Linked DNA regions of Lytechinus pictus. The protein of the gene in region 1 purifies or fractionates together with the protein of each later gene. This does not show direct contact. Links are inferred from orthologs where the notes say so. Each region holds a gene or a part of one and is shown on either strand. Other genes may lie near its edges.

Region 1 (16,474 bases):
AAAAATGATTGCAATAAAAAATTACTAACAATACTTTCAGGTTGGTGCAATTTTAGAAAATGAAAATGTATGCAAATGTTTGATCATCTTGTTACAACCGGACAGTGGTTTGTATTAAATGTGATGGAAGAGTTGAATATATGTTAGAAGAAATAGGCAACATCAAGATTTTGATTCACCATCACCGTAAAACAGCACATCAACTACATTGAAAACATGAATAACCTTTGAGGTGACTTGTCTTTGCGGAATAAGCTCCATCCTTTCTTCTTGTCCTGTGTAGGCTCAACTTTCTTTTGTTTGACTTGTTCATCCTCCTCCTCTTCCTCTTCCTCTCCTTCCTCCTCAAGATCTTCAAGTCCCTCTTCTTCCTCCTCTTCATCTTCTTCCTCCTCCTCCTCCATGTCCTCTTCTGATCTTTCTCCTTCTTCACTATCCATTCCATCCACCACATCTTCATCATCGTCACCATCGCCATCATCATCACTTCCATCTTCGACAATTTCTTGCTTAGACGTATCTGTTTTTGGTTTCTTTGAGTCTCGACTGAATAATTTAGCTCCAAAGCCTCTTTTAGTAGGTGAGTCAGGTCGTTTATCCTCATCTTTTTCCTTTTTAGCATCACCATCTTCCCCTTTTTTGCTCTTTGCTGATTTTGCAGCTATTTCCTTTTCTTTCTTCTTTCTTTTCTCTTCCTGTTCTTTTTCCTTCTGCTCTTTCTTTTCCTTTTCTTTTCTTTCCTTTTCTAATTTCTCCTTTTCTTTTTTCTCCTTCTTTTCTTGTTCTTTACGTTCTCTTTCCTTTTCCTTTTCTTTTTCCTTTTCTGACTTTTCTTTTCCCTTTTTTTCTTTGTCTTTCTTGTCTTTTTTATCTTTATCTTTTTTGTCTTTGTCTTTCTTGTCTTTTTTGTCTTTCTCTGGATCATCATCACCTTTATCAGTCTTGGAACGTCGGAATACACTTAATCGTTTTAACTTTGTCTTCTTTGCATCATCTTCTTTTTCGTCATCTTCATCATTTTCCTCCTCTGGATTGCTAGTTTCCATCTTGCTTTCTTCTTCTCCTTCACCATCATTTTCCTCATCTTCTTCGTCATTGTCATCATCATCATCATCGTCATCATCGCTATCATTGTCAGCCCATCCAGTTGATGGCTTGTTTCCCTGTCTTTCACTAGCTTCGTCTTTACCTTTCATATTGCTACATCAGAAAACATCAATTTTGACGTTTATTTGTTGTGTATTATTCATGGGAGAAAAGAACTAGAAGAAATTAGAAGGGAATTAAAAGGTTAACGCTAAAATGCTAAATGCAAATGAACTTTCATAAACAGGGTAACGCATACCGGGTCACAAAAATTTATTACTTTACATCTGCTGGAATAGAGGACTTCCTATATTTTGTCATTGTATGTACAGGCTGACTTGTACACCCTTAAACTCAAAAATTTCCAACAAACATCATGTAGCAAGCAAAACATAAAAGCCTAAAAGTCTAAAGGAAAATTATTTGAGCCCACAAGAAAAACTAACATCAACAGTAATAACCACCATAAACCATATGAACAAATGTCACTATTTTATACTGATTTCAAATAATTTATTTTCAAATTATAAAACACATGTTCTTATAATCTATGGGAAGGCTTCCTTTCTAAATCAATCAAAATGATTGATTTATACTTTCATTTTAGAATGTGAAAGTCCTTGCCCCTTTATTTATCAATGTTTAAAGATATTCAAGTATATTTAACAAATATTTCCAAAATCATCCTATCACCAACTTAAAAAATAAACCTTAAGATAACCTTACACCTCCAGTAAAAATTCACCAGAAATCACTTTTATGATTCTTGTGTTGCTTTCATGTGCAGTAAGACAAACCTTGGTCATGTTGGAAATGAAAAAGTATTCAAAATAAATCTGCTGCAAGTTTTTCAGCTTCTAGTGATACAGCATATCGAAACAAGCTGCATTATATGTTACATTAATACAATCAATAACATTTCACAATATGCCATACACATTTTACAAATCTGAAATAATTTACCTAGTTTTTTTTCTTTCATTTTTTCACCAATGCATGTATCCTACATTTGAAGGATTTAAACCAGTTTTATTAGGTCAGCTTTGTATTACTAATCTGATATTCTCATTACATCTATCATTTAATATACATGTATAAAAAAAAAACTTTCATGGCCTCATTTCAATATGTTAGATTTGAACTTGTTTGTTGATTATTCATAACAAATATTGATTACATTTTAAAAACTACAAACACATCACTTACTTGAAATAAGATTGCTCCACTTCATCAGGCTCCAGTTTATTACCTATTTTCCCCAACCTCACCTAATATCAAATACAAACATACACATCATCCAAACAGATGATCAGGTAAGATTACAGTTCTTCTTAATAATCTGCCAACAATTAAGTGATATACTGTAACTCTTCTTTAGAGTTATCTGTAGCAGAATTGAATATTAAACAAAATAGAGCTCTACACATTTATTCATTCGTTCAAAATATTTTTAAAATCTAAGTTTGACTACAATATAAATTGTATTGTATTGCTTCATGGAAGATGAGAGTCATATCTTAAGTTTAATAGAGAACATGAGAAAACAAGTGCATCAATTTATAACATTGATTTCATTCAGAATCAAGCTCACTGAGCAGAAGTCACTTGATAATTGTTTCATGATGAATAAATATTTAAATATATCTCACCTCAAGTGCATGCATACGGTCCGACTCATCACATCTAACCTCATCAAAATTGGGTATAACTGTTGGCTCTTTACCCTTCAGAAATAAAAAATACACAGTAATAAATAGTAATAATAATGATTATGATGGTGAATATAGTGATGAAGATAAATAATCATTAATAAACAATGATAATGAAGAAAATAATAGGTCTAACCATAATGCGACCTTTAAATAACAATCATAATGTCTTTCATGTCATGTACCCTACATTTCAGACATTTTCTGTTCATTATCACCATCTTCATTAATTAAAGTATTTGTAATAGTCATATAGTGTCAGTAGAGGTAGATCTATTTTTAGGGGAAAGGGGGGGGGCATGGGCCACAGTGGGACACTCTGCATCAAAAAGATTATAATCTAGTCTTATGATGAAGCCCTGAATGATTGATTTTTAAATTAATGCTTTGGGGTTTTGTACAAAAATATAAACAAACTACATGTAAAACTTATGAGTTGAAAACATTATTTTATTGGTTTTTAGTTTTTACAAACTCTTTTTTCATTCTCGATGATGTATGTACATGTATACAGATAGATGTTATGAGATAGAATGTGCCCATCTTTACGTAAGGTACCCCATTCTTACACAAATTCTTGTATCTCCTTTCAAGCTTACCTTGGATAAATTTGAAAGCTTTTTTTCAAGTGCTTTGCATTTTTTCCTCAAGGTTCCACATCTGCGTAAAAAAAAACAAGGGTGAGAATTTATAGAACATCAATTGTCATTCCTGAACAGAATATGCTACACTCACTTTTTTGACAAAAAATTACTGACTGTATGCCTGACAATGAAGACCAATAGAAAATCATATTAACCCCCCCCCCCCTTTAAAACTAAAGGGCCCAATGTTTTACAAATATGAATGATACTATGATTTTAATCAAAACGTGCAAGTGATAGAGCTCTATGATGAAATACAGGCATAACACACAACTGTATGTTAGGCCAAACACTATTGAATTTTATTCATTTATTTTGACAATGACCTAACTATTTTGGACAATCCACATGTAGACCTACCGTTCAAATAATTTCTTCATTCTGGAAGTTCTGTCCTTAAGAGTTGAATCATCCAAAACTAATGCACATTCTTCCATGTACGCATCAATCTATACAAATATAAACACACATAAAAGGAATTCATAGAAAAAAATGTTAACCATGAAAAAGAATTGGTTATATCATTGAATATATACCCAGCAATCCTAAAATAGGAATGAAGCCTATTTAACAAAATATATAGAGTAATAACATGCATGCAAAAGCTGACCTTCCTGGACCTAGTGGGGGTTTCACAAAGTTGTTCGTAAGTTAAGGGTGACTTAAGATGACTGACTGGTGAACCTTTCCTATGCGCTAAATAATCACCAACGAACATTTGATGTTGAATATCATTCACCACAAGAAAGGATCACCAGTCGTTCTTAAAGTCACTCTTAAAGGTCAAGTCCACCTCAGAAAAATGTTGATTTGAATCAATAGAGAAAAATCAGGCAAGCATAATGCTGAAAATTTCATCAAAATCGGATGTAAAATAAGAAAGTTATGACATTTTAAAGTTTCGCTTATTTTTCACAAAATAGTTATATGAACGAGTCAGTTACATGCAAATGAGAGAGACGATGATGTCGCTCACTCACTATTTCTTTTGTTTTTTATTGTTTGAATTATACAATATTTCAAGTTTTACAGGTTTGACAATGAGGACAAACTGAACTGAACTTGACTGAACCATAAAATGTTAAACAATGGTAATTCCACATGTTCAGGGAGAAATAAAACTTTGTTTCACAGGACAATGGGGAGAAAATTATAATATTTTGTATTTCATATAATAAAAAACAAAAGAAATAGTGAGTGAGTGATGTCATCAGTTCCCTCATTTGCATACCAACTAAGATGTGCATATAACTGTTTTGTGAAATGAAGCGAAACTTTAAAATGTCATAACTTTCTTAGTTTAAATCCGATTTTGATGAAATTTTATCGTTATGCTTGTTGGATTTTTCTCTTTTTATTCAAGTCAAGTGTTTGTTTGGGTGGACTTGTCCTTTAACTTACCAACAGCTTTATCAGTATAGGCAGAGGTCCAAAAATTGGGATTGTCCCAGAAAAAAAAGGATATCCTCATAAACCAAGACGAATCATGTCTTGATAAATTGAGATTGTCCTTGTTTATAGGGACAGTTTTTTTTTCCCCCTGCGGGACATAGATGGCAATTACCAAGATATAGCGTGGGAGTGCTAAAAATAGATTCAGTGAATTAAAATAGACTTCATCACATTTCAACCATGGGAAGCATCCTAGAAAACACATTAGGCATTTAAAAAACATTTTTTTTTTACATTCATAGAATCATAGCATCCCACACTCATTCTATGAACAAGGTTATGATACAACCTTGTTCTCTGTTACTACTCCCTGTGTGGTGAAATAAGGTTGGCAATGTTTGGCATATTTTCTCTTTTTCTTTGGGACAAATGCTTGATTTTTTTACACTGGGCAGTTTCAAGCAAAAGTGGACATTTTCCAAAAATTTATATTGGCCCTATTTCAAATCTGGATCAAATCTTTCTATCAAAACTCATATGGAATTTCATAAATATACAAAAGGGGAACATAAATAGCTACAATTTTTTTCTTACGCATCTCCTTATAGGAGAATCCAAACCATACAAGAACTTCTATACATGGGACTTCATATATTGTTTTTTACTTAATTTCAATTAAAAAAAAAATTATGCTTGTTTTGTAAAATTTTCTTTTGGATAATCTAAAGGTCATCATCTTACATCGTATCAAACAAACATTTAAAATTATAAGTTCATTTTGCGTTGCCCGTGAGTGGATATTTCTGATGTCACTCCGTAACTGGGTATGGGTTTACGTTTTAAGTCGTAATTAATGAAATAATACACAAATTTTTTAATGTAATGTGCACAGCATATTAAAGCTAGAACATAGAATCCAATCAATAAATCAAAATTATGACAGCAATTGAAAATTCTAGAAGTTTGAGCAATATGTTTTCTCCTCAAATATACATGTCCATTTTTGCGTCACTCCGTAACCGTGGAACTGCCCCACTGTCAGTTTCCATTACAGCTATTCATCATATAACTTGGCTCACAAGTAAATTTGATTCTTTAAATTATTTTTTCTTAATTAAAAATATAGATTGAAAAATGACAATTGTCTTGCCATATTACTATCCACTAATAGAGGGCGTACACGATACACAAAAATATGCCCAAAATTCAAGTTTTTGAGCGCTCTGGTGATTACAAAAATTACTCCCAAGTTAGGGGAGACCGGGGTTAGTTGGAACATTTTTGACAAAAATGGCTGTAAAATCCAAATAGATTTTATTTGAGAAACATCAATATATCAGCTTGATTGATTGATTGATTGATAAAAAATTAACGACACTATCAACACATGCATATCATATAAGTGTCAGACAGTTAATCTGGAAAGGTTACTATAATACAGTACAAATTACCCTAATGCAACTTTACAAAGGAACAGGATTATAAATTAGTAATTATCAGTAATAAATTAATACGTTAACTACTTCCCCGGGATAACTTCCCTACTCTTTACGAAAAGAGGAGTAGGTTTTTTAACGTGCAAATGGTGTGACTCTCCTTTACACGGGACCGACGGCTTAGAGTCTCCTCCGAAAGACTAGACAATTGGAATAAAATACCTCGCCCAAGGGTATACCTGTTGTGATTGGGATTCGAACAGTTTCCCACCTAAAATCTAATAAAAAGATTGATCTCCTTTAGGAAATTTACAATACATAATCGTGAAATATCTCTAAATAATGTCTTAAGGACGTTCCACAGTTAAAGTGAAATCCATGTCATTTTCACCAAACTTTGCACATAAATACCTTAGAACCTTAATATTCGAAATACGCAAAAATTAACATAGGTCCACGTGCTTGATTTTTTGCTGTAGAGCTTCAAAGTTCACCCAAATTGATGTTCTTAACCCTTTGCGTGCGACGGGCTTCCACAGAAGCCCAGCGAGTCGTTCACTTAGCTACGACGGGCTTCTACAGAAGCCGATATTTGTTTGGTTTAATTCGATGAAGTTTTTCAGCTTTTTCGTAATTGTTATGTACTAAAACCTTTCCCACTATTTCCTTTATAAACCTATTTCGACAATCAAATGAAAAAAATACACAGCTACGTGGAGAAAAATCCCTAAAATAGGAAATCGTTTCAACTTTACCCGAATTTTTCTTTGGAGTCAGACGGGGAGGATAAATTTTGTGACGTGCACGTACGCGCGCGCACACTAGGCCTGATCACGTGATTTGTTTTGATCACGTGATTTGATCCATATCGTTGTTTTGAAAGATAAGCTAAAATCATTTCTGGAAGATCGTCACGTAATAACCTACGCGTTTATTCACGATTTTCGTCTTATTTGTTTCATCAAGACGATATCACTCTAGATAGAATGATATCTCCTTGGTTTCATCGATCGATTGTATTTTCAGAAAAACAAAAAGCTTGTAATGTCTTTTTAGTACTTTGAGCTGATCGCGGTGCACTTTTGAACTTTTTCCCTCCCCATCATCCCTCATTATTTTTCTCTACTTTTCTAAAAAAAGAAGAGAAAAGAAAGCAGTTTAGCACACCATTTATCTTATGCTCTTTTCAAAAGGGAAACGTCCATGTAGTTCATGATATCGGCACTACCGAAACAAAAGAATGTCTGGGCGGCAACTCAAACAAATTCCTTCCGAAAAGAGCAGGATACAGATGGTCAACGCCCCGAACAAAAGGAAGATTAGCGTTTATCGGCAAGATTACCTATTGAATGCCCTTCGTACTTAGCAATACAACAAGTTTTTATAAATACTTTTCCGACCAACATACTTTATCTAAAAAAAAGAAAACAAAATTGTCTCAATTACCAACAAAACAGGTGCTTATGACATCGGTCAGTGATCCATTTTGCATAAAAGCGCTTCCCCTGGGTGATGATGCATATGAGGATGAAAGAAGAATCATTTAGGGAAATTATAGAAAAAAAATGTTTATATGTCACGGTGAACGAGAGAGAATGAGAGACAGAGACGGCTAATAAAAATATATTATTTAATTCATGTCAATATACAGAATGAATTTATAATAGGTTAGGTTCTAAAAGCTCTTTATCTTATTCTCCTTTTTTCTCCCAGATGATTTTTTTTGCATTGAAAAGTTGACGGAAACATTATCACTTCAAATTATAAAACCAACAATGAACTAAGTTCCCTCGCCTGAAATGGAGGAAATAGAATGATATATGATGAGAAATTACGTTAAGGCACCCACTATAAAGAAAACGCGTTTGTCTGGCGTGTCACCAGACAGAACCCGCTCAATCCTACAAACTTTTATTCATGTGTGACCTACACCCCCCCCCCAAAAAAAAAGGTTGATACCGACCCAAATTTTATTGATTTTCCTACTTTTTCGCGAATTTCTTTTTTTTACCGGCGAATTGCGTGGTAGAAAAGATTTCATATAGAAAAAAATTGTTTCCTTTACTGCAAACATTTGGGGCGCTTACCCTGGTTAGCATATAAACCAAAATATCTGATTTTTAAAATAAAAAACAGGGGCCGCTGAGCGCTTTGATAATGGATGGGTTGAGCTGAATGTGGGAGGGAGTGGACTTGCCAAAAAATCACAAATTTATAGAGACTTCGGATTTTTTTTGTACATGTTTGCTGAAAGGGGTGAGGACTGAAACTTCCTACCAACTCCGCAGCCTCTGTACTATTAGATAGAGACAAAAATGAATTCTAACTATTAGGAATGTTTTTTTTTTATTTATTACTTTGTTTTCGGTTGTGAAACCAATGAGACAAATTGAAAATAGAACAAAACGAAAGAACAAATAAAAAAAAAACTTTTATTGCGTAGGCTATAATTTATTCAAGAAAAAAATACTTTCTCTTAATTTCAGTAATTGCTAGCATGGCTCTTTTTGAGGGAATAGTAAGATAAAGAAAGAAACGTAGAAAGTGACAAGAAGAGAGTTGGGAGGTATGATTTTTTACTCATAATTTTAGTCACTTTTATTCGATTTAACTCTTTGAAATAATTTCAGGATATTACAAATCGAATACCGGTGCGCAAAGCTCAGGAACAAAATTATTTTATTACTATAATAGCTGCGTGGAAAATCGAATTAAATGAGACATTTGATTTATGAAAAAAATATAAAAAAAGAAAATTACTTTTAGTGAAAGATTGAGGTCTCTGTCTTGCCATAACCCTAAGCCCCAAGTTCACAAAAAATAGTTTAGTTGTGCATTTTCATACGATGATGATCATCATCGTATTGTATTTTGCGAAGATATCTACCCACGTTATCAATATAGAAAATGGAAGATGATACAGAATTTATTATGAAATGACAGTAACAATAGTAATTTTAAAAGGTTTTCGGGACATTATTTGAGAAACTGGGGGAAAACCCCCCAAAAATTTCGACATAATGACCACGATGCAATAGGACGAGAGGCCCATCTCCGATACAAGTTGGTAAAAACGAGGCATTCTCTCGGAAGCGTTTCCGATGAAGAGAGAGGGAGAGAGAGGGGAGGGAGACGTTAGATGTAATGTAAAATGACAGGTACTGAGAAGGAAAAATCAGAGAGAAAGGATTGGGGGGATGGGGGCGGGTATATACCTCGTAATCCAAATCGGGAAGACGGAAGACGATATGTACAGATATAATTTAAATGAGAAGAACTCAGAGAAAAAAGGTGTAGAAGGGAGGGGCATAGAAAGACGATAGATATAAGGGAATGAAAGCGGTAGATAATACATTCAGTTTATAGGTTAGAAACCAGAGAAAGGGAAAACGAAGAAATCCCTTATTGGTACCGTTTTATAAATACATTATAAATGTACATTTTATATTGACAAATGCGCAAAAATTAAACACATTTACCATCCGCCAGTCAAATAGGAGGATTTCAGTAGCTTTTAAGTGTTATTGAAAATTAGTAAACAAATTTTATATAAAACGGGCCCCTGGTAATTTTTTGAACCCCCACCCCCTCCCGCTTTCCCTCGTTCTCTCATCCGATATTGCTCTTATTTTTGTCTTCTATTTCAAAGGAAACAAACAGAAAATAAAGGAATTTAGAACACCGTCTATCCTCCGCTCTTTTGAAAATGAAAACGTCCATGCAGTTCTTGGTCTCGGCAGTCCCCAAACAAAAGAAATTCATGGCGGACACTCAAACAAATTCCTTATAAAAAGAGCAGGGGACAAATAGCCAACACCCTGGATAAAGGAAGATTAGTGTATTTCGTCAGGATAATATTTAGCAATACAAAAAGTTCTTAGGAATACTGCTTTTCATATTAGGACAGCAACATTAAAAAAGTAAATGATTACTCAATTTATATTGACAACACATGCAGGCGCTTAAAACATGGCAAGAACATTTTCTTCTTGAGCATGACAGTGCTTTCTTCACAAAAAAAACACAATTTCCCCTGGGTGATGATACACATAGGGATGGAAGAAGATGCAAGTGAGATTAAAAAAAGAATAGAAAATGCAAATCGAGATACATCTATAGGAGAATAATAAAACGACAGAAAGGATGGAAGGGAAAAAAGAGGAAATAGACCAAAAAGGTATAATGTAAACCATAATGTGCGCTTTTGCTATTGCATAAATATTTACTTAAAAAGAATTATAGAATACTAGTCCCCCACCTCAATTTGTAATTCACGCCATTTTATAGAATGAATTTGTCATGTTAGGTTTTGGAAGCTCTTCATCTCATTCTCTCCTTCTCTCCCATGTGAAAATTTTTGCACTGAAAATTCGACAAAGCATAATCAGTTCAAACGCTAAAACTAACAATGAACTAAAAGTTTCCTCGCCGGAAATTGATGAAATAGAATGATAATTTACGTTGAGGCATCCACCTGAAAAAAACCATGTTTGTTTGACGTGTCCCGACAAACCCCTCTCAATCTTGCACCTACCCCCCCCCCTAAAAATGTTATTAATTTTTTCGCCAGTTTCTTTTTTTTTTTTTTTGTCTTTTGTTTTTCTGCCGAATAGCGTAGCAGAAAAGGATCCATTTAAAGAAAAAAAAAAGACAGGTTGACCTTATATTTTTTACGGCAAACATACTATTGGGGCGCTTACCCTGGTGAGCTTCAAAACTCAAATATTTAAAAAAAAATGGATAAATAAAAGGGACCGCTAAGCGTTTTTTATAATGGAGGGGTTGAGCTGAATGTGCGAGGGAGTGATCGGCCCCTAAAAATCATAAATTTATGGACTTCGCGTTTTTGTATACGTTTGCTGAATGGGGAGGGGGGGGTGGACTGACGCCTCCTACCGACTCCAACGCATCTGTATTTAATTGAACGATTAAAAAGATAGAGACAAAACGGGATACAAATCTTTCTTTATTTATTACTTTTGTTTTCGGTTGTGAAAAAATCCAGAACGGTTAAAAACGAATAAAATGAAAGAACAAAATAAAACACTTTTAAATTAAAAGCATCTGAATTAAATTTAGATGCTACCATTTCAGTAGATAAAAATAATTTACTTTTTCTCATTGTGACAAAGAGTAATCGGTAGCATGGTTATTTTGGAGGGAAAAGGGAGATAGAAAAATGAAACGTAGAACGAGACAAGGAGAGCGTTTGGAGGTATGATTTCAGATCCACTATTTGAGTCATATTTACCCCCTTCGCTCTTTGAAATTGCAACAGGAAAACAAATCGAAGACAGGTATGCAATCTTCAGGAACAAAATTATTTTTTTATTACAAACTATAATTCATGAAAAGAAGAAGCCAAAGGCGATTTTTAGTGAAACATTGAGGCCACCGTCTTGTAGCCCAGAAGCCAAAAATCACAAAATAGTTTCGGACTTTCGTTGCGCAGCATCATCATCGTACTTGCAAGGGAATATTCACCCTTTTTTATTCATTCTGGAAAATGAGGTATTTGGTATGCTGTGATTTTACCCCAAACGGATTATCGTCGTAATTATACACTTTGCAAATGATCTGTATACAAGGGGGTAAAGAGACCATTCATGAGTAGCGTGACAATAGACAATGAAAAAAGCACCAGAGCAGACAACAAAGCGGTATCGATCGAACCCGACTCGTCCGCGCGTGCTGATTGCCCTTACGCATTTTTGTACACACTGCCTATTGACTTGGGAAAAAGCGAAGATTTGACAAAAAAACACGACTTTTTCCTCATAAATTTCTTAACTATTCTGTTGATTTGAGAAGCGAGACCTTTAATTCTAGAAAGAAAAATGTCTGACCTTTCATCTTTACATTTACTAAAAATCCTGAAAATACTTCAGTTTGTCGCAATTAGCAATAGATTAGGAAAACACCGCCACAGATCCATATACCAGCAATGTACAAAAACAGCTCCGCCGCAGGGAGAGGTATCCGGTTTCGCGGGCCCGCACGCAAAGGGTTAAGTACTGCGCATTCAAAAGAATTTGGCATTTTTAGACCTCTCAAGAATACTACAATGAGTTTAAACCTCTATTACTCAGTCAAAATACATGAAAAATTCATCAAATTTCGCAAGAGAGTTAATAATTGTATCGTTAGATTGGAGAATCTATTTATGGTGCTATTTGTTTGCAACTTTAAGTCTAACAGCACAGTCAGTTCTTAAAATTGGCCTAAAAGATAACAAAAACCAAATCTCAAAAATGTAAAATTTCAATAACAGACTACAAAAGTACAATAAATGCTGCACTTTATTCAAAATCCATGTCATTTTCACCAAAATTTGCAAAGTTGTAGAGGAAGGTATACCTAAGAGGTACAAACATTAAAAAATAGGGGTTCATGTGCTTGTTTTCAAACTATCAGCATTTTTATTAGTGCAAATGTGCTTTTTAAAACACCAAAAATACGCCAAATGCTTTGTATCTATGTGAAGAAAAATCAAAACCACTCTACTATTTATTCAAACTCGGGGTCATATTCGTGATTCTTGGCAGTACTGCAGAGTAAAGTATTTTGAAATTGTAGAGATATTTTTAAATAATCCATGGAATAATTCCAGTTATTTAGCTTCATAAAATAACGCATCGGATCTGCAATTAGGGTGCAGATGATAAGAAAAATCAGCTCATACCCACAGCTAATTAATCACCTGTTCATCCATTGTGACGTCAGCGCGCAGAGTGTTAGATATGCGCAGATCATAATGCGCACAAACATAACTATGGAACGTCCTTAAGGTCAGGAACATCATAAAAGTTAGTACGAATATGTGCAAAATCAGCACATTCAATGAGGATGTGTTTAACTGTAAGTGTACAATTACATGATATACATTGAGGTGGATTTTCTTATATCAGCTTGAAGCATATATCTAAGGGCTTCAGATGTACCCCATAAATTTTTTAACTCTATGATGGTTTCTGAAAAATCCACCTTGAACAAGACCATCGCAAGCGTTCAGTTGGAACATGGTATGGGGCAAGTTGGAACACTGCATGGTAAATTAAGAATTATACTTAAACTACTTACAACCGTAATATTACATGGTTTTAGCATATTTACTTTATTTTTGTCAAGTTCAAAATATTAAAAGTGGATTTGTTGAACTTAATGTTTTCTATTATACAGCCACTCACGCAAGCCAACTGTGTAGTAGAATTCCGCTTATTAATGTGTGTTTGATTTTACATGCAATTAAGTGTACTATCAGCAATTTCATGTACTTCTGCATTAAATTTACATTACAAAAATAATTGTTTATATTTTTTCATTAATTAATTATACAAATAAGCATATGAAATTTGCCCTAAATTTGTTTTTTTTAATGTTTCTGCCTTTAACTCTATTTATCAATCTAGTAGAATGCTAATTTTTGGTGAGAGTATCAATTTTTACCTTTATAACAAATATCCACAAAAAATTTAATTTCTTTTGTATTTTTTGTTTTTTTAATCTGTATTTCTTTGTTTTTCTGAACCTTTGTTTTTTATTGTTTTTTCCGATGAACTTTGTCTGGGACTCTTTTGCGATCATAAATAGCATAAAATAAATCCATTTGAACCAACAAAAGTAAAAATAATCATACATTTATGATTTTTGGTTGAAAAACACAATTTGCATTGACCTTGTACATGGAATCAAGTTTTTGAGCAATTTTAATGGTTTCAAATTATCTTCTTCACTCGCATTGAAAGTCAAGGTAAGAAAATATACGATGAGTTACGCATTTGAAATCATCAAAACATAAGACGGGAAAGAAAAACGATCTTAAGCGACACCATAGTAAAATCGCCATCGTTGTCAGAACGGAACTTTACTCCATTCACGGACGGTCATGCTCCAAAACTGATATAAGGTCATGTTTCAAAACTGATATAAAAACAATGGTTTTCGGCGGGAATATATTACCGAAGAAGATTAATTGATATTGGTGATTATATTGGCGACTAAAACTTATAAATTTTGTTGGTGAGTCTTACTAAATTTAATGAGTTGTTGTGACAGGAAAGTGGTGAATCAGTGTCCACGGATACCCGAACCCGAAAAATGAAAACCGTTATCCGTCCACGCGGGCGGAAACTGTTCGGATATCCGTTTGGTGGCAGCACTACTTATTAAGGGGTGCATTTTCAGAATATGGAAAATATTTTTAATTAGGGTGCTTTTCGAGACCCCATGGTCGCGCATGGACTTATCCCCTTGCCTAACCCAGGGAGCTCCGGGCCGGAGCCCAGGACTCATCCCTGTAATACTAGTCAAACATATATTCTCCAAAATGGGGTAAAATGTGGTCGCAATAGCACTCCAAATAAAAGGGGAAAAAATAAATTATGCACTTACCTCGATTATATGGATGAAGGTCTATCGTGACACACTAATCCTGACATCGAGGCACAAACTGGACCCTCAAAAAATGGAAAAGTTAGACGTCTATGTCGCATACGTTTTGGTATCGATCGGCCATTTTGTTTTCAATTTGACAGAAGGAGAACGAACGAGACAGAACTTTTCTTTATGATATTTATCGACAGAAGCAAGTATTTTACGATTCATGATATTTATCGGCTGGTGCAAGTATTTTTTAAATCTAAGTTGGCAGCTATACACGCGTGTGGTATCGTCTTGCACAGCAAGATGACCCAAAACGGTTGTCATTTTAACTTCTCCGGGGTATAGGCCCAAATAATTATTTTGATATATTTTCTTTTATTTTCTCACATTTTCTCCCTCTTTTCCCCAACCATTTTCCAGTTTTTTCCAACCAAACTTGAAATATCGAAATGGGCGGCAATCTCTCTGACCCCTCATGCCTTATCATAAACATGAAAAAAAAAATTAAGAAATTATGTATATGGTAAAGAAAACATTTTTATAACGTTCAGCAAAAAAAGTAAGATGTTACTAATCATGCTCAATCATTTATTTTTTTTGCTGAGATTTTACTCAATGAAAATTGTTTGATTTATGCTAACTTGAGATAATGAATGAAACAAAAAAAAATAGCTCATTGAATTTAAAATAAAGATTAGGCTTATAGCTTAGGTTAGCTTACGAATCCATCACAATCATTAAAAATGAAGATAAGTTCATTGTACCTATAAAAAAAAAGGTTATGTAAAGTCCATATTAAAGAAAAGGCGCATTTTAAATCGTAGGCCCTATATATGTCATCATGGTCATGTTAAAGCAATAATGTACATCTCAACTCCTTAACTTTTCACATGCAGCCTCTCATATTTTCCTTTTTAGTCTAATACAATCAGACACGTTGATTTTGTTTACTCCATTCAAACCCTATTTTTACCTCAACAAATAACATTTAAAGCATATAATTTGCAAAATTATCACTTTAAATAAGTATTCTATACAAATTCAGAATATTGAACTAATACATTGTCGAAATTACTTAGTTACTTCAATTTTTATGTCGGACAAGGGTCTCTTTCATTGAAATATCAATGAAAGGTATCTCTAAAAGGGCACCATGTTCTAGATAAGGGAAAAAATGAAAAGTTCAATTTTATCCAGTTATGTTTATGAATCTTTAAAGTTTTTTTCTCGTTTTACCTCATAAAGTAAGCTCGATACATCAATTCTACAATCAGTAATAAATAAAAACATATTTGATCTCCATTTATTGAAATATATGATTTTATGAAAAGCCGTCATTCTGAAATAAAAGGTTCAGGTGATGGTAAAGACTAAATATTTTTCCGATGCTATCGATATCAAACGATGTCGCGGATTTGAAAGACAAAATTGCCTTCGTGAAACGGAAAGCGCTGATTTGTCGCCAATCTTCCTATTTTGGAAGAATGGTCCTAGGACGTTCCTACGTATCGCTCATCTCGTCATGCAACAGGCCCATGGTATCCCGTCCCAGGCTTCATGGAGAGTAAGCCTACGTACAGTAGATACTTTTACTCTCCAGAGCCTCCAGGCTACTCCGGCCCTAGACCAAAAGCTTCAATCTCTGTATTTTGGTTGTTCCGCTGAACTACGTTGGCTCCACTCACCAATACATAGACTGAAGAGCTTGGAGGCCCATACGTACAGCCAACGTATAAGTGAACTAACTTTTTATAGGTCGCGATTTAAAACTGTTAAGCGAAATTTACAGTTTCATGGTTTCCATTATCAGGGAAAGATAAATAAC
Region 2 (16,957 bases), on another chromosome or scaffold:
TTCGTCAGTTCCAGGTATTTTCTGATCGGGAAATTTACCCCGATCAGAAAATATTAGGTAATATTGGCAATGTGAAAACAAATTACGCGTAATCTCCCCGAAAGAAAATACCCACTAAATAGTAGGTACATAGTCAAAATTATGAGAATTTTCGCGAGGATTTTTCCAAGGTCGTAGGTATTTTGGCAATGTGAAAGCAATTTACAGAACTTATAGCCCAGCGTGTAGTTGGGCGCGGGCGCCTTGGGTGGCTGCTGAGCTAGTGATTTTGAATCTCGCGCCTCGATTGCTTATCAGACCATACTGCTCGTAACTTCAGGAACTTATCTCAAAGGGTATGTTTCGGGCGGTGTGAATGCAGGAATAATTAATGGGTATTTTTTTAGCCTAAAAAAGTTCTTGTAATTTAACAGGGATTCTTGTGATCGAGGCGATTTGAAACCACCTACTTTGGTGTTCTATTTTTGTGGGTATGAAAAAAGAAGAAGGGTTGGTCAGTTAATTACAGTTTTCTTTGGCCTAACCAATAGAGACCTGTGGGCTGTGGTGGTATTCTGGAACACCATCATAAATTGTCATAAATTTTGTCATTTCTCTCCAGAATGTGACACTGCTATGATTGTCACAAATCTGTATTATGAACATTGTCTTTACCCTGTCATATCTGTCTAAGTTCCCTTCTATCTCTTCGAAGGCAAGCCAATCAAAATGACCGTTAGTTCTGAGTCGGAGCCCTTCTTACCAAAAGGAAGGCCCGGCGGCACTTGGGGCGTATTCTCAATACAGTAGCTGGCATCGCACGACTGCTTTTATATTGATGCGCTTGATTAGAAAGGGAGATTATCAGATAGGGAGCTGATAAGGATCTTTTGCTTGTATGTATATTGGGATTAAGCACATTTAAACTAAAACCGCATATTTACATGTATGTGCGCGCTTGAGAAGAGACAAAATTTATGACAATGTTATGACAAAATTTATGACGCCCACCAGAATACCAATTTCATCTCTGAGAAAAGAAAAAATATAGAGAAAAGACAATGTTCAGAATACTGCCCTGGTCACAATTATTATATTTCATGTCCCACTTTTACACCTTGTATTAATTGACACGCTATTTCAACACAATTCCCATAATTTATGAACAAAAATAGTATTGGATTCTGATGTATTCTCAGTTTGATTCAGTAACTAAAAAAGTTGTGTATTTTATAAAACAAACAATGGTGCCATACCTGTAAAGGTAGTATCCAACACTTTTTATCCTAATCCTACCTTTTTTATTTTGCATTGTATTGTTTATTGATTTAAAAATTCACCTGTGACTCCATTATCTTTATGATTATGATGAACATAATAAACATTGTATATAGAATAAAATAAAAGGCACACACAAGTAAAAAAAAAAGCCTACATGTAGATTTAAATATTTGTTAAAATTAAGCGTCCAACCACCTACTCTTAATGTTTTTTGTACCAAATGAGAAAAGTAAAATGAATTTTGTCTGACCTCATCTATTTTCTGTCTTTAATTTTTCAAGTTGCAATTGCTGAACTTACACTTCATGTAGAAACCACTAAATTTTACTCATAAAAATTGTGACATTTCTTTCAGTAATCAGGGGATGCACTAGATTGAACATGAAAAAAATTATACAATATAACAAAACAAAAAAAAATAGAAAAACAAAATATACTGCATGAGAGTAGTTCTCCCAGTTTCTTATAAAACAACAATATGATAATTTTAATAGCTTCTTGTTGGTGAGGCATGGCTCTCTCCTTGGAATACATACATGTAGCTTTATATATCAATATCATTCTTAATTCATCCACTCTACCAGCCCTCTGGCGCCCTATCAATCGAAGCAAGAGCTTTGGCCTGAGTGAAAGCAATCAAACCACAGACCATCTATGTCGCCGTCGCTCTGTTGATTATGACAAAAGCAATTGTGCGCTTCTTTGCCTCCCTCAGAATGCGGACAAGACCGATGTCAAGTTGCATCTCTCTAGCCTTCATTGTTCAAGGATGTTTTCTTGCATTCAATGTGTTCTTTATTCACCTCTGTGCCCATGCATGTGACATAATTTGCATAGATGCGGTCTCAGTTTGCTATGACAATGCAACTGCAAGTGTTCTATCCTCTCTACATACATGTACATGTAGCGCTATATTTTCTGTACTTGGGAGAGATTTTGTTGACATTTTTGGCAGAGTTTATTTCATGACACTTAATTTGAACAAATCTTCTGGTGGAAATAACTTGGATTGATTACTTTTGCTTGTTCTTGTGTCAATTTCAATCTCTGTGTGGATCCTTTAAAGTTTGTATTCCTTCAATGTTAAGGATAGGATTTGTGATCGAAAATCTCTTTGTTTTGTATTCACTTTGATGCTCATCTTGTGGTTTGTTGGAGATGTCTCGGTTAGATTGCATATTATTGGGTTTCATTTCACCTCATCTGTTTATGAAATTGTGTATAAGACTCAATATGAGTCCATGGATTTGAAGTATGTTGCATTAGTTTTTCTTTTCTCTACATCTAAACTACAGTTTTTACAATCGGTCATTGCAGTGGGTTTTTTTTACAGGCTTTCATTAGAAAATTAAAATCTCAACGATATGCAGTCCTGCTGTACTGAATACACGAACAGACTGACTGAGGGCTGAAATATTTCAGTAATATGAACAATCTTGAAATTGTCATCTTTATATTATTGTGGTATAATGCTTCATTTTTTTCTTACTTTCTTTACAATATTTTCTAGCTACAGGTGTTTTTTATGGATTACCATGATTGATACATGTATTCTTTGTTTACAGAACTTCCAAGATGCTTCTGAGGACCGTTTCATAAAGCTGCTCCTAATTAAAGTTAAGAGTGACTTTAAGAACGACTGGTGATCCTTTCTTGTAGTAAATCAGGTATTCACCATTAAATGTTCATTGGTGATTATTCAGAACGTGAAAAAGGTTCACCAGTCGTTCTTTAAGTTGCGTTTTGAAACGCCCACAGTCAACATTCATTTCCATTTTCACTGATCCCGTGTACTGAAGTTGACTTTAAAAGTTTGAGGGCAGAAGAATTTCTTTCAATATTGCTTTTTTATTTGGGAAATCCGTCCGTGGCCCAGGCAGAGAAGGCTCAGATACATGAAGAATGAAACGGTTTTGGGGAAATTCTCTGCTACTGTACAGTATTGCTCATTGTCAATAGTCTCATAGACCCCATTCTCACTATACTGTCCTAAAACTACATGTAGTTAAGTGGAAACTAATAATGTGTAATGAGAACCGTCGAAGCCGTCTTGGAAGCGATCTTCCAAACTGGTTCAGAAAACCACCTTGCGATGTAGTTTTGAAGATTGCTTTGCCTCGTTGAACTGATTTTAGCTTACATAGTGAGGACACAACCGTTATTCGGGAAGCGACCTTCGCATATATCGAGCGCGCTACTCCACACACTATATGTGGAATTCCTACGCTGCGGTTTCAAATTTCGCATGAAACATGTCACCCCACTGAGAGTGTTCCCATAGCCACAAGACCGCTTTAATACGTGAATTGGTTTTGAAAACCACTTTCGGGTGATCAAATGGGAACGCTAGCAAGGCGATCTTCCAAAAGTGGTTTCCTGAACCGATTTCCAGTAAACTAGTCTTAGAAAGTATAATGAGAACGGTGTCATACACACATGACTTAAAGTCCCTATTAAATTTTTTTTTTTTAATGGCAGTGCTCTCTGCTCTTTGCACCTTCCAAACACTTTGATTCAAAATGTAATTGAGGGTTATAAATTTGGATAATGATTTTCCACCATTAAAGATGTCATTTCCTTCCTTTGCAGTCAGCTTTGTGTGTTACTTTTAGGCATGTTTGCTGTCGCCATGCAATCCAGCTAGAGCTTAGTACTGCCTGTTTGAACTTGAAAATATTTTGTTTGATTTGCTTGATATTCAAGCATCCCTGTGTACACAGGAAACCTCGGATCTCAGGGAAGAAATATTCAGCTTGTCACTAATTATTACATGTACATGTACATGTAGATTCCAGTTTGAAACTGTGAATGTCTGATGCAAGGAGTTTTGGAGTTGGCATCAGCATCACTTGGTCTATTTTTCTAATGTTTGATTGGTATCGGATTTATCAAAATACTGCAATTGGTTTTCACTTTCAATTTACTATGATTTTGAGGATCTAAGTGCTTCACTAGATCTGTTGCAGAATAATCACAAACTTTCTCTTTTTTCCTTGTCCCATTTTGATCTCTTTTCATTATTTTGATCTTTGCATTATAAGCATCAATTTGATTGGTAAGAATGGCATTGAATTTGCTATATGTACTTGGATTCTTTTTACTATTCACATTTGTTGATTTCTACTCATCAAATTCAATTTTTGTACTGTATGTGCTGCAGCAATGGATAAGGTTCAGAGAGGTTTTTCAATTGTGCATTGGATAATTTTATTCCTTTTAGATGACCAAGGATTGTTATTAACCTGGATTTTTTCGACCTGGTGTGCTTTTTTGAAATGAGGAAATATCTGCCATGGGTGACCCCAGTTGGTGTCAAATTTGCCAGAAGAAAGGGTGACTGATGGAGTATCAAAAGTTTTTTGGAGATTGTATGGGTTCATTTTGAATCATTAATTGATGATGTTTTCTGTTTGAAATGAAACAGCTCATTATAAAAACCCTAGAGACCTCTACAATATCCTAAGCGATGTGATATGCAGCTCTATTGTTATTGCCAAATAATGTAGAGACAGTATACCCAGTTGTTGTGTGTCCGGACAGGTTGTGTGTCCGGACAATCAATTTTAGAAAGTCATTTGGAAAAATTTACAAGGGAAGTTTTATCAATTTTTAGTACAAAATGTCAGGAAATATTATAGAGAACAAAATAGAAGATGATTACAATTATTGATTTCGTATTTTTAGTGTAATCCAAAGACAAAAAAGAAGGCTTCAAAAATATAAAGTGTCCGGACACCCGACCCCCCATCCTATGCTTTAAATCTTGCTTGCAGACTTTGAAGAAATCTTAATCTGTTTGGTTGACATCTTGGAATTTCTCCTCTTTTTTTTGACATAGTGAGTGGCAAATTGAGACTTCTCTTTTTTCAATTTTGTTTTTATTTTGTTGATGATATGTTTGTCTGTGCATCTTTTCAAAATGGGTTCCAACAAGATTTCTGACAAAACCAGAAAAGTATGAAATCTTTGATTTGAAAAATCTCTGTTACACTTGTCACTATAATTATCAAATTGAATTTACATTGAACTTTCCAAGTCAAAGTTTTTGGCATACTTTAATCAGTGGTTTTGGATAGTTTTACATAAGAAGTAGGCCTAATATTTATATCAGTCCCAATTTCCAATTGGAAATTTTAATTGTTGCCAATTAAGATACTTTAAAACACAAGTAATTATTTTACATGCATGATATGACATCTGTGACAGTAAAGAATGTTTTTCTTGTATTCTAGTTCCGAAAAAATGTAAATGATGCAAAAGGATTTCGCTTACAGTGTATAAAAGACTACCACAGTTATATATATGTAATACATATCATATAAAGTGCCACCTACCTTTCTGTATAACATCCATTTGAAAATTTTTAAGAAAAATAGAGAAATAATTTGGAGGCAAATGAATCTTTTGCATCAACATTCCTCTACACTGTTGCTGTACTAGGATAATCAACTCACTTCGTCATGTGGAAGGCCATAAGAGAATGTTTGGTAAAATTTCTGGTGCTTTAATTGTATGACATCCTTGATATGATGAAGCATTTCCTTTTCTACCAGTGGCACAACTCTTATTGATTTTGGTTGTGCGTGGCATGGCCAAGTTCTCAATAACTTCATTTGTAAACAAGTCCTGCCATTGCATTTTGGTTACCATGACAACCAGGGAAACAGCAAGAAGATGCGTGTTCCGAGCATTTTTCCCCAATGAGGCGTGTAATGCAGGGAATCTGTTTTTCCTTTGGAGAGCGGGGGCGCATCGTGGTCTGGTATTGATCGGCGGTACAAGATAACCCTGAGGGAGTAATCAAACTGCTATCACTTGAGCTAGAGAGTCCGAATGACTTTCGTAAAGCTTGTTTTATTGTCATCTTTCTGAAAAGAGAGTGGAATTTTCCCTCGTTTTTCTCAAATGATTTTCTCTTTCTCATCTTTTGCTTTGAAGATTGGGATATTCGCTCCTGGATTTTGTTGTAAGGAAAATACACTTTGTACAAGTTTTGTATTAACTTCAATCTAAATAAATCATCAAGGATCTGTTAAAGGTGATCTACACTTACCCTTTTCCTGCTTCTTGTGTTTCTTCAACTGTCAACTCTGGAGAGGAGGCTGTCGGAACTGGATGGAGGCCAGAGACTTTCATAGACTGAAAATAAATTGTTGCTTACTTTTATAGTCTAAAGAAAGGCAGTAGTAGACAAGAGATATCTTCTATGATCTACATGTACATCAGTCTGGTCTACATGTACACAGTTTAAATGTAGGAAATGCAGTGAGGTTGTTTGGTACTACATGTAAGTCTGATCTACATACCTTTGAACATGTGGGATAACGAACAGTCTGGATTTTCATTTGTCTGCAATGCACATTACATGTACTTGATGTACATGATGATAGATTAGCTTTAGAAACACACATCAGATTCCAAGACTACAGGAATATTGATTAGAGTGCATATCAGGATTTTTCATTAGTTCGCTTCTGAAGTCCTCAGTTCATGAAATTCCTTCAGGCATAGTAGAGAAGCCTTTTTGTTGCGTTGATATGGTCGGAGAAGGAGCCAAGAGTTTTATTACATTTATGTTTTTCAATATTACAGTGTCGGTAGTACTCATTGGGTGCTTTTACACTTGCCCAATCACCAAAAATACATGTACAGGCACCTTTTATTTGGCCAGTATGAACGCAAAGTAATATTTCCAGTATAAAATACGCACAAATTGATTGCTGCTTTTCAAAATTATTAGAAATTTTGTCAAGATTTGTTTAAGGACATGGCAAACTTGGAAGTATTTGAGGTGTGAAAGAAAATTAATTAATAGAACTTGTGATAGAAAGTAGGAAGAATGCGTAACACTCTAAAGTGAGTCTTGTTGTAGGCAAATACATCTAAGTAGAACTTTATGTGGTTCAGAGAGAGTGTGAATGCACTTATATATTGAGGTCCGACCAAGTTCCATAGATATTTTTGTTATTTGGCAAGTGTGAAATGTCAGTGTATGCCTGTCGACAACATTTGCATTTTTTTTTTTACACGTGTTCGTTAATGGTTTTCCCAGACTTCTTGTGCATGCACTGAACAGCTGGTTTAGTATGCATTTAGAGATATTTATAGATGTCAATAAACTTTATGGGTACAGTATCTTGCCTAAAATGCCACCTTGCCATTAGTTTTATTGCTTGAAGTGAAGAGTACTGCATTGTACATGTAGATGTAGGCCACGTCTCAAGAAACTAAAAGGATCTGCCTCTTGCAGTCAGTCTTGTGTTCAGTTTCTGGCTTTAAGAGAAATAATTTGTGCTAACAGATCTAATTTTAAGATGTTCTTGATGTAATTTCGAGAATGTTTTGTCTTTGCATTGAATATAGAGCTGGAAAGTACATTAATTGGTATCTGAACTTTTGGTTCTTGCCAAAGTTCTGTTTCTCCTCTTTTGCAAGTTTGTTTTGATAGTTTGCACTTCGTAGGATGAGGGATATATCATATCTATGTTGTGCGATTATAGACCTCTTGTGAGGTTGTGAACTCCATTGAAATGAGACCTTGCTACCATTGTCTTTAGGAGTGGGTCATCTGTTCATATCTACTGAAGATCAGGCCAAAGTGCTCAGTCTCTTTGAGTAATGTCTTTACCCCCGCTATGTGAACAATGAAAGATCATGAAAGTGAAGAAGAATCTTTACACGAGACTGGAATCCATCCAGGTCAGACCACAAAGCACAAGGAATCTTCAACATGGACACCCAGTACTCTGATTCCCTCACAACCTCCGCAGTTACTGCTCACACCAGAATCCACCCTTGCCTTGTGGCAAACTACCCCAAATGTCTGGATCGACAAGAGCAAGACGATTACCCAATCGAGCCACCGTTATCCGCAGCGTGCAACAAGTTTCAGTCAATTTTCAAGCCTTCCGCGTCACTTCCGTCTGTCCGAAGCAGCGCCCCACACCCAGTACCAGCAGACTTGGGATGAGATAGAAAGTATTAAGCAGGAGCTGTGTGTAAAGCGGGTGATTCCTGCGGATTATCGTAGAACAGCTGTTCGTTACCATGGTGATGAGACGGTGGACCGTAAGAACTGGGTCCCATTTATCATCTTGGTTCATTCAGTGGATAATGTAGCCCACGATGTCGAAGCTCAGGTACAAAGTTTTTTTAAACTGGAACAGACCTCCAGGGAGGTCAGTCACAGTGCTGTTCCTGCTAGAATCCCATGTGCTTTATCGTTAGTCTTCATACATAATTCCTTTTCTTTTATCACCTTAAGAAATTCCTTTTCTTTTATCATTTTAAGAAATAGTGAAATTTCGAAGAAAAATCAATTGATCTGTGTTGAAAAACATGAATGTTTCAAAATACGTTTACATGGAATTATGTTCACTGTAGAAATATTTTAGAATGATGATAAAGAGAATCAAAAGTCCTAATACATGATGTACAGGGGCCGATTGCACAAAAGGGTCTTTCCAAGGACCGTCTTTCGTGTCGCCCATCTTTTATGATGCGCTGTAAGCGGGGTGTTTCTGAAATTTATGATAAACAAATAAAATTTGTAAGCTTGCTTTTAAATCAAATTTTATACAATTTCATGAGATATCACATCATTTTGTAAACAAAAATATTCTGTTTATTTTAACGGACAAATAAAATATATTTGCAGATAATTTATTTGAAATGCGTTTCACATGGCGTATCATAAAAGATGGGCGACACGAAAGACGGTCCTTGGAAAGACCCTTTCGTGCAATCGGCCCCAGGTACTTGTAAATTCTACAGATCATAATACATTAAAGACTCTACATGTTAAATCCTGGTGGGAGGTTCATAAAGCTGTTTGTAACTTACGAGCTACACTGTACTTTACGATCGGCTGGTGACCCTTCCTTAAAGGTCAAGTCCACCCCACAAAAATGTTAATTTGAATAAATAGACAAAAATCAAACCAGCAAAATGCTGAAAATTTCATCAAAATCGGATGTAAAATAAGAAAGTTATGACATTTTAAAGTTTTGCTTATTTTTCACAAAACAGTGATATGCACAACTCAAATGAGACAGTCGATGATGTCCCTCACTCACTATTTCTTTTGTTTTTTATTGTTTGAATTATACAATATTTCATTTTTTATAGATTTGACAATAAGGACCAATTTGACTGAATCATATAGTATAAAACAATGCTCATTCCACATGTTCAGGGAGGAAGTAATCGTTGTTTCACTTGACAAGGAGGAGAAAAATAGGATATTCCCTATTTTATACAATAAAATACAAAAGAAATAGTGAGTGGATGACGTCATCAGTCTCCTCATTTGCATACCCAACAGGATGTGCATATAACTGTTTTGTGAAATTGAGCAAAACTTTAAAATGTCTTAACTTTCTTATTTTACATCCAATTATGATGAAATTTTCAGTGTTATGTTTGTTGGATTTTTCTCTTTTTATTTAAATCAACTTTTTGTTGGGGTGGACTTGTCCTTTAAACACCTTATCAACACCTTTGGAAATCTGGTAGCACAAGAATGAATCCCCAGTTGTTTGTAAAATCGATCGTAGCTTAAAAACAGATTTTTATGAAACATCCACCAGGATTTTTTGAGTTTGTAAAGACTTGAGCTATACTCACACATGTAGCACTTAACTTAGTAAGTACTGTATATATTTTACTTTAACAAAGCTCATTTATGGACAAATAATAAGATATTTATTATCAGATTGTTCCAATTCCATTATGAAAGTTGATCTTGACCGCAGTGCATGCCAGGAGATGGGCAGTAATTGCTAGATTCAAGGCTGTTTCATGCAGCTCTGGTTTTGTCACAAAATTGTAGGTTAATTGGATATAGATCGAGAATCAGATACAAATAGAGGGTACTCCACAAGCACTATAAAAAGAAAAATGACAGATAAATTAGAAAATGAAACAAGTGGGATGATTTTAAGCTACAATGTACAGTGTGATGAGAATATTTTCTTTTGAATATGATGTACATGTTCAGCACGTACTGTTTAATGAACCTTGTAGTACTTTAAACAACCATGCATAATTCATTGAAGATTAAATATAAAAATGAAACTGTGTACAATGTAGTTTAAAATTTAATACTACATTACACTACAAATCGGATGCATCCGAGAATAAATCAATGAATGGTACGCCAGGCTGCTTAATGTGACATGAGAGTTGGAATTTTTTTTTACATTTTTAAACACTTGTTTTAATTTTTGAATTCTTAAACACTTGTTTTCATTTTTGAATTTTTAAACTCTTGTTTACTGTAAGGTTCAAAGAGTAAATATGTAATTGTATAAAACTGCGTATACTTAAATTAATTCTGGATTGAAAACTTGTACAGGTACATATTTATTGTTTTAATGAATTCATCAAAATAATCATCATTTCTTTTCTCTGGTTTGTTTACTTTTTAACAGGAAAAAGCCAAGAAGCAGACCCAATACCAGCTACGGTTCAGTCTTTTTGACGTCACTTTCAAACGGTTCTTTGGTCGAACCCTAGTTGGACCAAAGAAGGTTTGCAAACAAAGCGCAAGCCATGCTCCAAGACTGCAGTACAATTTAGTGAGTATCTAAACATTATTTGAAAAAAGTAAACCCTTCCCATGTGCTCAAAGATCGTCATCTTTTTAGCCCCAGACCTCCTCATTTAATTTTTAAAGAACAATTTCGATTCTCAGGGATGACAATATCCAGACCAAACTAAAATAACACTGTATTTTTCTTTTTAGTTTACTTCTCGAGAATGAGATGAATGCAATATTCCAAGATATAACCTTTGTTCGCAGCTTATGTACAATCACTTTGTGTCAAAGGTCTTTCAAAATAGAAGACGAAAACCTTACCAGAGAGAATGCTACATGTATATCATCAAAGGTAAAACTCAATGTCACACAAAGAATCAACCTATCAAAAAATTACTAGTGGCCACTACCGGTAATCATTTGTAATTGATTGTGAGATGATATTCCAATGCAATTCAATCTGTGAAGCCTTTTCAAAAAGTTTTATACAGGCTTTAGATTACATGGAGTTAAATCATGTGATTAAATAGAGTGTTATTTACTCAATCTCTTTCCTCATCTAAAATGTATGTAATGGACTTGTATTTAAATGCAATCAACTAATGAAAAAAGGTTACCGGTAATTTAATGCAATAATGGAGATTAACATGCTCTTCGACATGCATGTGGTCATTTTCATCAAGCTAAATGAATTCAACCAAAGTCAAGTTGATGGCCGTTTCCATGACAACATACAACAAAGCAAGTCCAAAGATCCCATTGATAAATGTGTCAACAAATGAGGGGAAACAGCACGTTTGCATTATATTTTGATGATGTACAGTGTATATTTGTGCTACAGCACGGATGAAGGTGTACATGTGTAAAGGCATTTTTATTGATCTAGTAATGAATATGGGTGTGCATTTATGCAGCTTAATGGAGAAATAAAACAAATTTCTTGAGTGCAGCAAACTTTGCACAGTATATGTATATTTTTTTTATCTTAGAGGTTGTACATGCACACACACACACACATAATTTGATTGTTTAAAAGAGTGCTTTATTCTGGAATCCTGTAAAAAATAAGTTGTATTTATTATTGCATAGTACATGTAGTAGCAGCAGCAGCAGCAAAATGGAGCAGCAGTAGTATATTTAGGAGTGCAGATGGGGGGGGGGGGGCACTAGCCAGTCAACAGTGTAAAGAAAATGTTATTTATGAACCAGAATCAGAATAAATTTGTATTGTTTGTATTATTAACCCTGCACATTATGATATCATTCCCCCGGGGTATTATTTTTATGGGGGTGTGCCTCACTAAACTCTGAAATGGGGTCTATTAAAGGAACTGACTATAAGGGTAAAGTACGGGTCTTGGGAACTAGATATACATGTATACCGCGGTGTGTGAAAAACAGGGTCTACGGAATGGAATTGCGGCACTGTAGGTGCGGTGCACCATAGCGCTGTGAATGCGCTAGCCATGCATGGACCGGCTACTTGTTAGGCCTTTTTGTAGGGAGTTGCGAAGCAATATGTGCATCTCTTGCAGGTGGTGCTCGCGCTTGACAACTTTGGCAGGGCTGGGGAACTGAGATGTATCATAACGCGTCTTGCGAGCAGGGCTGTGCGGCTTCTGAACTGAACTTTTGTCATTCGGAGTATCTAGAGAACTGAAAATCAGGTCTGAAAACAGGGGGTCATCAGAGCGGCACATATCCCTACCACCAATATATGTGAGTCCCCCCCCCCTGGATCATGCCCTTCTGAATCTTATTTTTGGGTGGTAATTTGATTCTGTAGTACACGTACATAGATAGAATAATCTATTTTAAGAATGCTGACAATTTTGGGAGTTTGCAGCATTTAAAATCATGAGTGCAATTCTCAGTAGTGTGAGTGTTATGTAGTATAATTTATCATGGTTCTGAACTTGCTCTTAACCATTTTTGGACTTTTTCCCAGGGAGTTGAGAAAATGCATGCATTTTTTTTTTTTTTTTGCGGGCATGCAAGGATCCGATGACTGGGATACGTCTTTCAAATGTACATGATGTACATATTAAAGCGCTCTGTAAAGTATATAAAATGGAATACATGTATCATTGACTTTTGTTCTATTTTTTTTCCAGCCTGTTTACTTTCACACGTCATTAGCTGACCCTAACATTGTTTTGATTGTTGAGATCATTGCACTCATCAACGATGCTAAGACAGGCCCTCGTCAGATGTCATGTGGCTGGTGTGTGCTCAGGCTGTTCCAACAAGGTATCTGTTGTAATCATGGTGATACATTATTGCACCTATTTTGGTTCTGTGTCATTTACTCTCGGACAATTGCTCCACTCTAAATTCCACTCACTAATCAAATGGCCAACTTCAACCCTTGGTTTAACACTTTACCCGACCTAAATTATCTAACATCAAACCCTATTGCACTCCTTACCCTACATCTTAAACGGAATTAAGCCCGGAGCGATTTTCACAAGAGCAAATGCTGTGTCACCCTTATTTTAGTACAGCATGTTTCTGTTTTTGTTCCAAATGTTTGAATTGTCATCTCAATGAAAAATTGTTCTTGAATGCCATGGGCTTTAATAATTGCAACATTTTAACTTGTGGGCCATTGATGATATCTCATGCGTTCAATAAATTGTACTCGGGCCTGAATATCTGAATGCCTTACTACTTATGAGTCTTACCTGAAGACCTTTCTGTTCCCCACTCTAACATCATTGCAAGAATGACATAATATTGTAGCACTAGCTAGTGCAGTAGGATTTAAACTGAATGATGATTCTAAGCACTGTTTGAAGACATTGAAATTTGTGAAACATTTCCTGTTTTTGAGCAAGAGTCAACAGAGGCGTATAACGATGCTATGCAAGAACTTCATCATTGGGTGGAAACGGATGCAAGTGCTGCATTGGGATTTGAACCCAAGCCCTTATGGTTCAAATTACAATATCCAGAGAGTTACCCACTGATCCACATCTCATGCTCTTCTTTCCATCATTGTAATGCACAACACCAGTGCAACAAACAAGCCTACATGTATTTGATGTCATATTGATGATATTTCTTTCAGCATACAGTTGTATTGATTATTGGATGTAATTTCCAATTGCTTGGAGCCAAAATGCATCTGTCTGCATTTTAAAATCATTTCCACATACACTTCCTCACCTGATACTGTTGTTAAAACATTTAACTTGTACATGTAGGTCTAATGATTAAAAAAATAAAATTGATATTTACAGGCTTTTTTTTCTTTTTTTTTAAAATTCATGATAGTAATACAGTCAGTTTGCACTTGTTACTTTGCACAATGAAATTTTGTTTCTTTTACACATTTTCTGTGCTTCTATGTAGAAATTAGCTTTTTCATTTTAACATGGTTTGTAATAATAAGTCATATATTAATATTTCATTCAATGTACGTGTATTTTGATTGACCTACTGTATGAACTTTGAATAGCATGTCACAATAGATACATGGTGCCTTAAATCAAAATAGGACATATCTTTTTTTATTGTTGACCCATACAATTTATTCAAACATTTGATCTCTTTTAATAGGTGATATGCCAGACACGTCTCAAGCAACACCGGCCCCTGTGAGGAGGGTGGATGTCTACCATGGTTCCCCTAGAGCTCTTCTATACCTAGAAGATGATGATATTGAAGGTAAGAACCGAATATATGTCGCAATCAAATGATAGAAGATAAAACCTTTTAATATTTATCTGTAATCTTGTAGAATGTTCGAAGTTTGTGGTTATTTCCTGTATTTTGAGGATGCAGAGAAGAGAATCATCAAATGTTCAAAGGATAAAATTATATTAAGTAGATTCTCCATCAGAAGTCTTTCGTAAAATACTCATCAATAATGATTACTCTGGCTTTAGCAGACAAGCTGTTATAATATGCCCTGTGTCTAAAAGGCACCTACATGTAACAAGCAATACAAATCCTATAGTATATCATAATTAAATTCGTTGAGAAAAATGAAAAAAAAATGACTTGAGCAAGATGGTAGCGTATAGGCGGTTGCTTCGTAGTACCACCACATTTTGCTTACGTTTCGCATAACAGCATCATACTTGTAAAAGCAAAGACAATTTGGCTGCAGCCTTGGCCTAGATGATCAAATTTCCACCTTGTGTTCCAATCAGGTAACCCAAACATCACCTTCGTGTCCGACTGCCAGCTGTGTTTTACCATCAAGACCCACCGCTACCTGGAGAAGATCTTCCATCTACTACCAGAGAACATCCTAGCTCTAGGAACTGACATCATTCCTGGTGTGACCATTGTGGATGCTAACTCGGGTAAGGATGTGCAGACTTGCCAATTAGTAGGATTTTTCAAAGGGAAAGTGACACTAAAGAGGATTTTATCCCCAAGAAATGGGATTTTTGAAACTTGGAAGAATTATTTTTTTATTTAATGTTTTTTTTTATTTCCCTCCAATAGGGCATATATTTGCATAAACATTTTAACAATGATATAAATAACACAATACAAAGCATATCATACATGTACACACATATTGTAATTTTGAACAAAGTATAGGCCTACAGGGCGTTTCAAACAAAAGGCAACCGATCCCTAGAGTGGCCATGCCCTACACCCATTTGTTCTGCCGCCGACACATGCAACAGCAAAAACAAATGTGAAAAAGACCATACCTACTTTTGAGAAAATTAAACAATATGTAAGAAAATGTTACAAAAATGAGAGGCAAATTAGTATTATGGAAAACAAAACACATAAATTTGATAAAAAATTGGTAAATTTCGAAAGAATACTTGTCATTTTGTAATAAGATTTCCGGACCTTAATATGTATTTCTGTTTAATGTAAACATATTTTCATGATGAATATACAGTGTGTTTCAGGTGAGAGGTGATCAATTATTGCTGGAGGGGCCGTGTTTGGTGCTCATTTGTTTTTGCTGAAACGTGTAAGAATGATGATTTTTGGTATGTTTTTCAAAATATTTAAGAAAAATTTGATTTTAGGCTAGAAAATAGGACAAAATGAAATACATGTAAAGAACAGGATTTTTTCCCATCTTAGATTACATGTAGCAGCTCTGGCTTTGTAATCATGAGTGAGTTTTTTTGTGTGTGGTCTGATTGTGTGGTTTGGCTTTTTGGTAACCGGCCTGCCTACTTTGGATCATGTTGGAATTGAAGGAGGAATAAATTAAAAAATAACTGCTAAGAAATTGGAAATCAGCAGCTGTCAGAACTCTTTTTTTTTTAAATGTTGCTCAAAATTGGAAAAGGTTTTGAGCTAACAATGTTGAAGTTCTCTTGAACAAAGAATGAGCTTTCAAAATCACTTGGGGTTATGACTTTTGCTTGTTATCCGGCTTCTGCCCAAACTTATGAATTAAATCCATCTGAGGGCAAAGGTAAAAATCGAAGTCACTTTATCCAGTAATAGTGGTGTTACTTGCTGGTCCAGGTGGGTGTTTCATAAAGCTGTTCGTAAGATACGAATGGCTTTGCGCACGACTGGTAACCCTTTCTCCCCGGGGGGGCCAGTCAAATATATTGCTGTACACACGCGTTTAAAGGGGTGTTTTTTCAGTTTTGGACGCGGTCCGCGCGTGGACTCGTTAAGGGTATCAAAAACACCGATTTTAAAGAAAAGGGGTGGTCTTGAAAAACTGGTCAATGGTCAATCGCGGGGTCAAACGTATTTGGGTATGTTTTTTCCCCAAAGCTTTTTTTTTTAAGACTAGCCAAATGTGTTTAGGGTATGTGTTTTTTTTTCCAAGCTTTTTCCCCGAGGTCATATTTTGGCGACAACTTGTTTAGGGGCCAAAATGTGTAAATAAGGCCCGCGAAAAACTTGTTTAGGGGGTTATTTTGCACACAGAGAAAAACTCGTTTAGGGGGTGTTTGGAAATTCCTTGGTCACGCGTGTGTACAGCAATATATTTGACTGGCCCCCCCGGGCCTTTCTCATGCCAAGTGATATATCCCTATATATTTTTTATTTTTATTTTTTAATCTTTTTCCCCTCCACAGGGATTTTATTGGCAATAAAAAATCAATAGGTACAGAGCACAATGAATAATACAATCACTGATATAAACAATGAACTGACAAGTATAACAAAATAATTTTACATGTTGAAGTCAAACAATAAAAAGATTTTTCA

The links.
Region 2: the proteins of nephrocystin-1-like (region 1) and nephrocystin-4-like purify together in Homo sapiens (co-immunoprecipitation; 6 studies listed by BioGRID and IntAct, with this or other methods). This does not show direct contact. The link is inferred for Lytechinus pictus from reciprocal best matches to the Homo sapiens genes NPHP1 and NPHP4.

What each region holds. Positions count from the first base shown.
Region 1 is NC_087251.1:6,642,251-6,658,724, reverse strand, and holds the start of nephrocystin-1-like, read right to left. Parts: upstream 7,775-16,474; 5' UTR 7,714-7,774; intron 3,889-7,713; 5' UTR 3,877-3,888; coding exon 3,800-3,876; intron 3,456-3,799; coding exon 3,395-3,455; intron 2,811-3,394; coding exon 2,736-2,810; intron 2,355-2,735; coding exon 2,293-2,354; intron 1,201-2,292; coding exon 226-1,200; intron 1-225. UniProt on the Homo sapiens protein: Together with BCAR1 it may play a role in the control of epithelial cell polarity. Involved in the organization of apical junctions in kidney cells together with NPHP4 and RPGRIP1L/NPHP8. Does not seem to be strictly required for ciliogenesis.
Region 2 is NC_087258.1:14,949,462-14,966,418, reverse strand, and holds the start of nephrocystin-4-like, read left to right. Parts: upstream 1-7,662; 5' UTR 7,663-7,904; coding exon 7,905-8,399; intron 8,400-10,691; coding exon 10,692-10,838; intron 10,839-12,912; coding exon 12,913-13,048; intron 13,049-14,359; coding exon 14,360-14,467; intron 14,468-14,955; coding exon 14,956-15,111; intron 15,112-16,957. UniProt on the Homo sapiens protein: Involved in the organization of apical junctions; the function is proposed to implicate a NPHP1-4-8 module. Does not seem to be strictly required for ciliogenesis. Required for building functional cilia.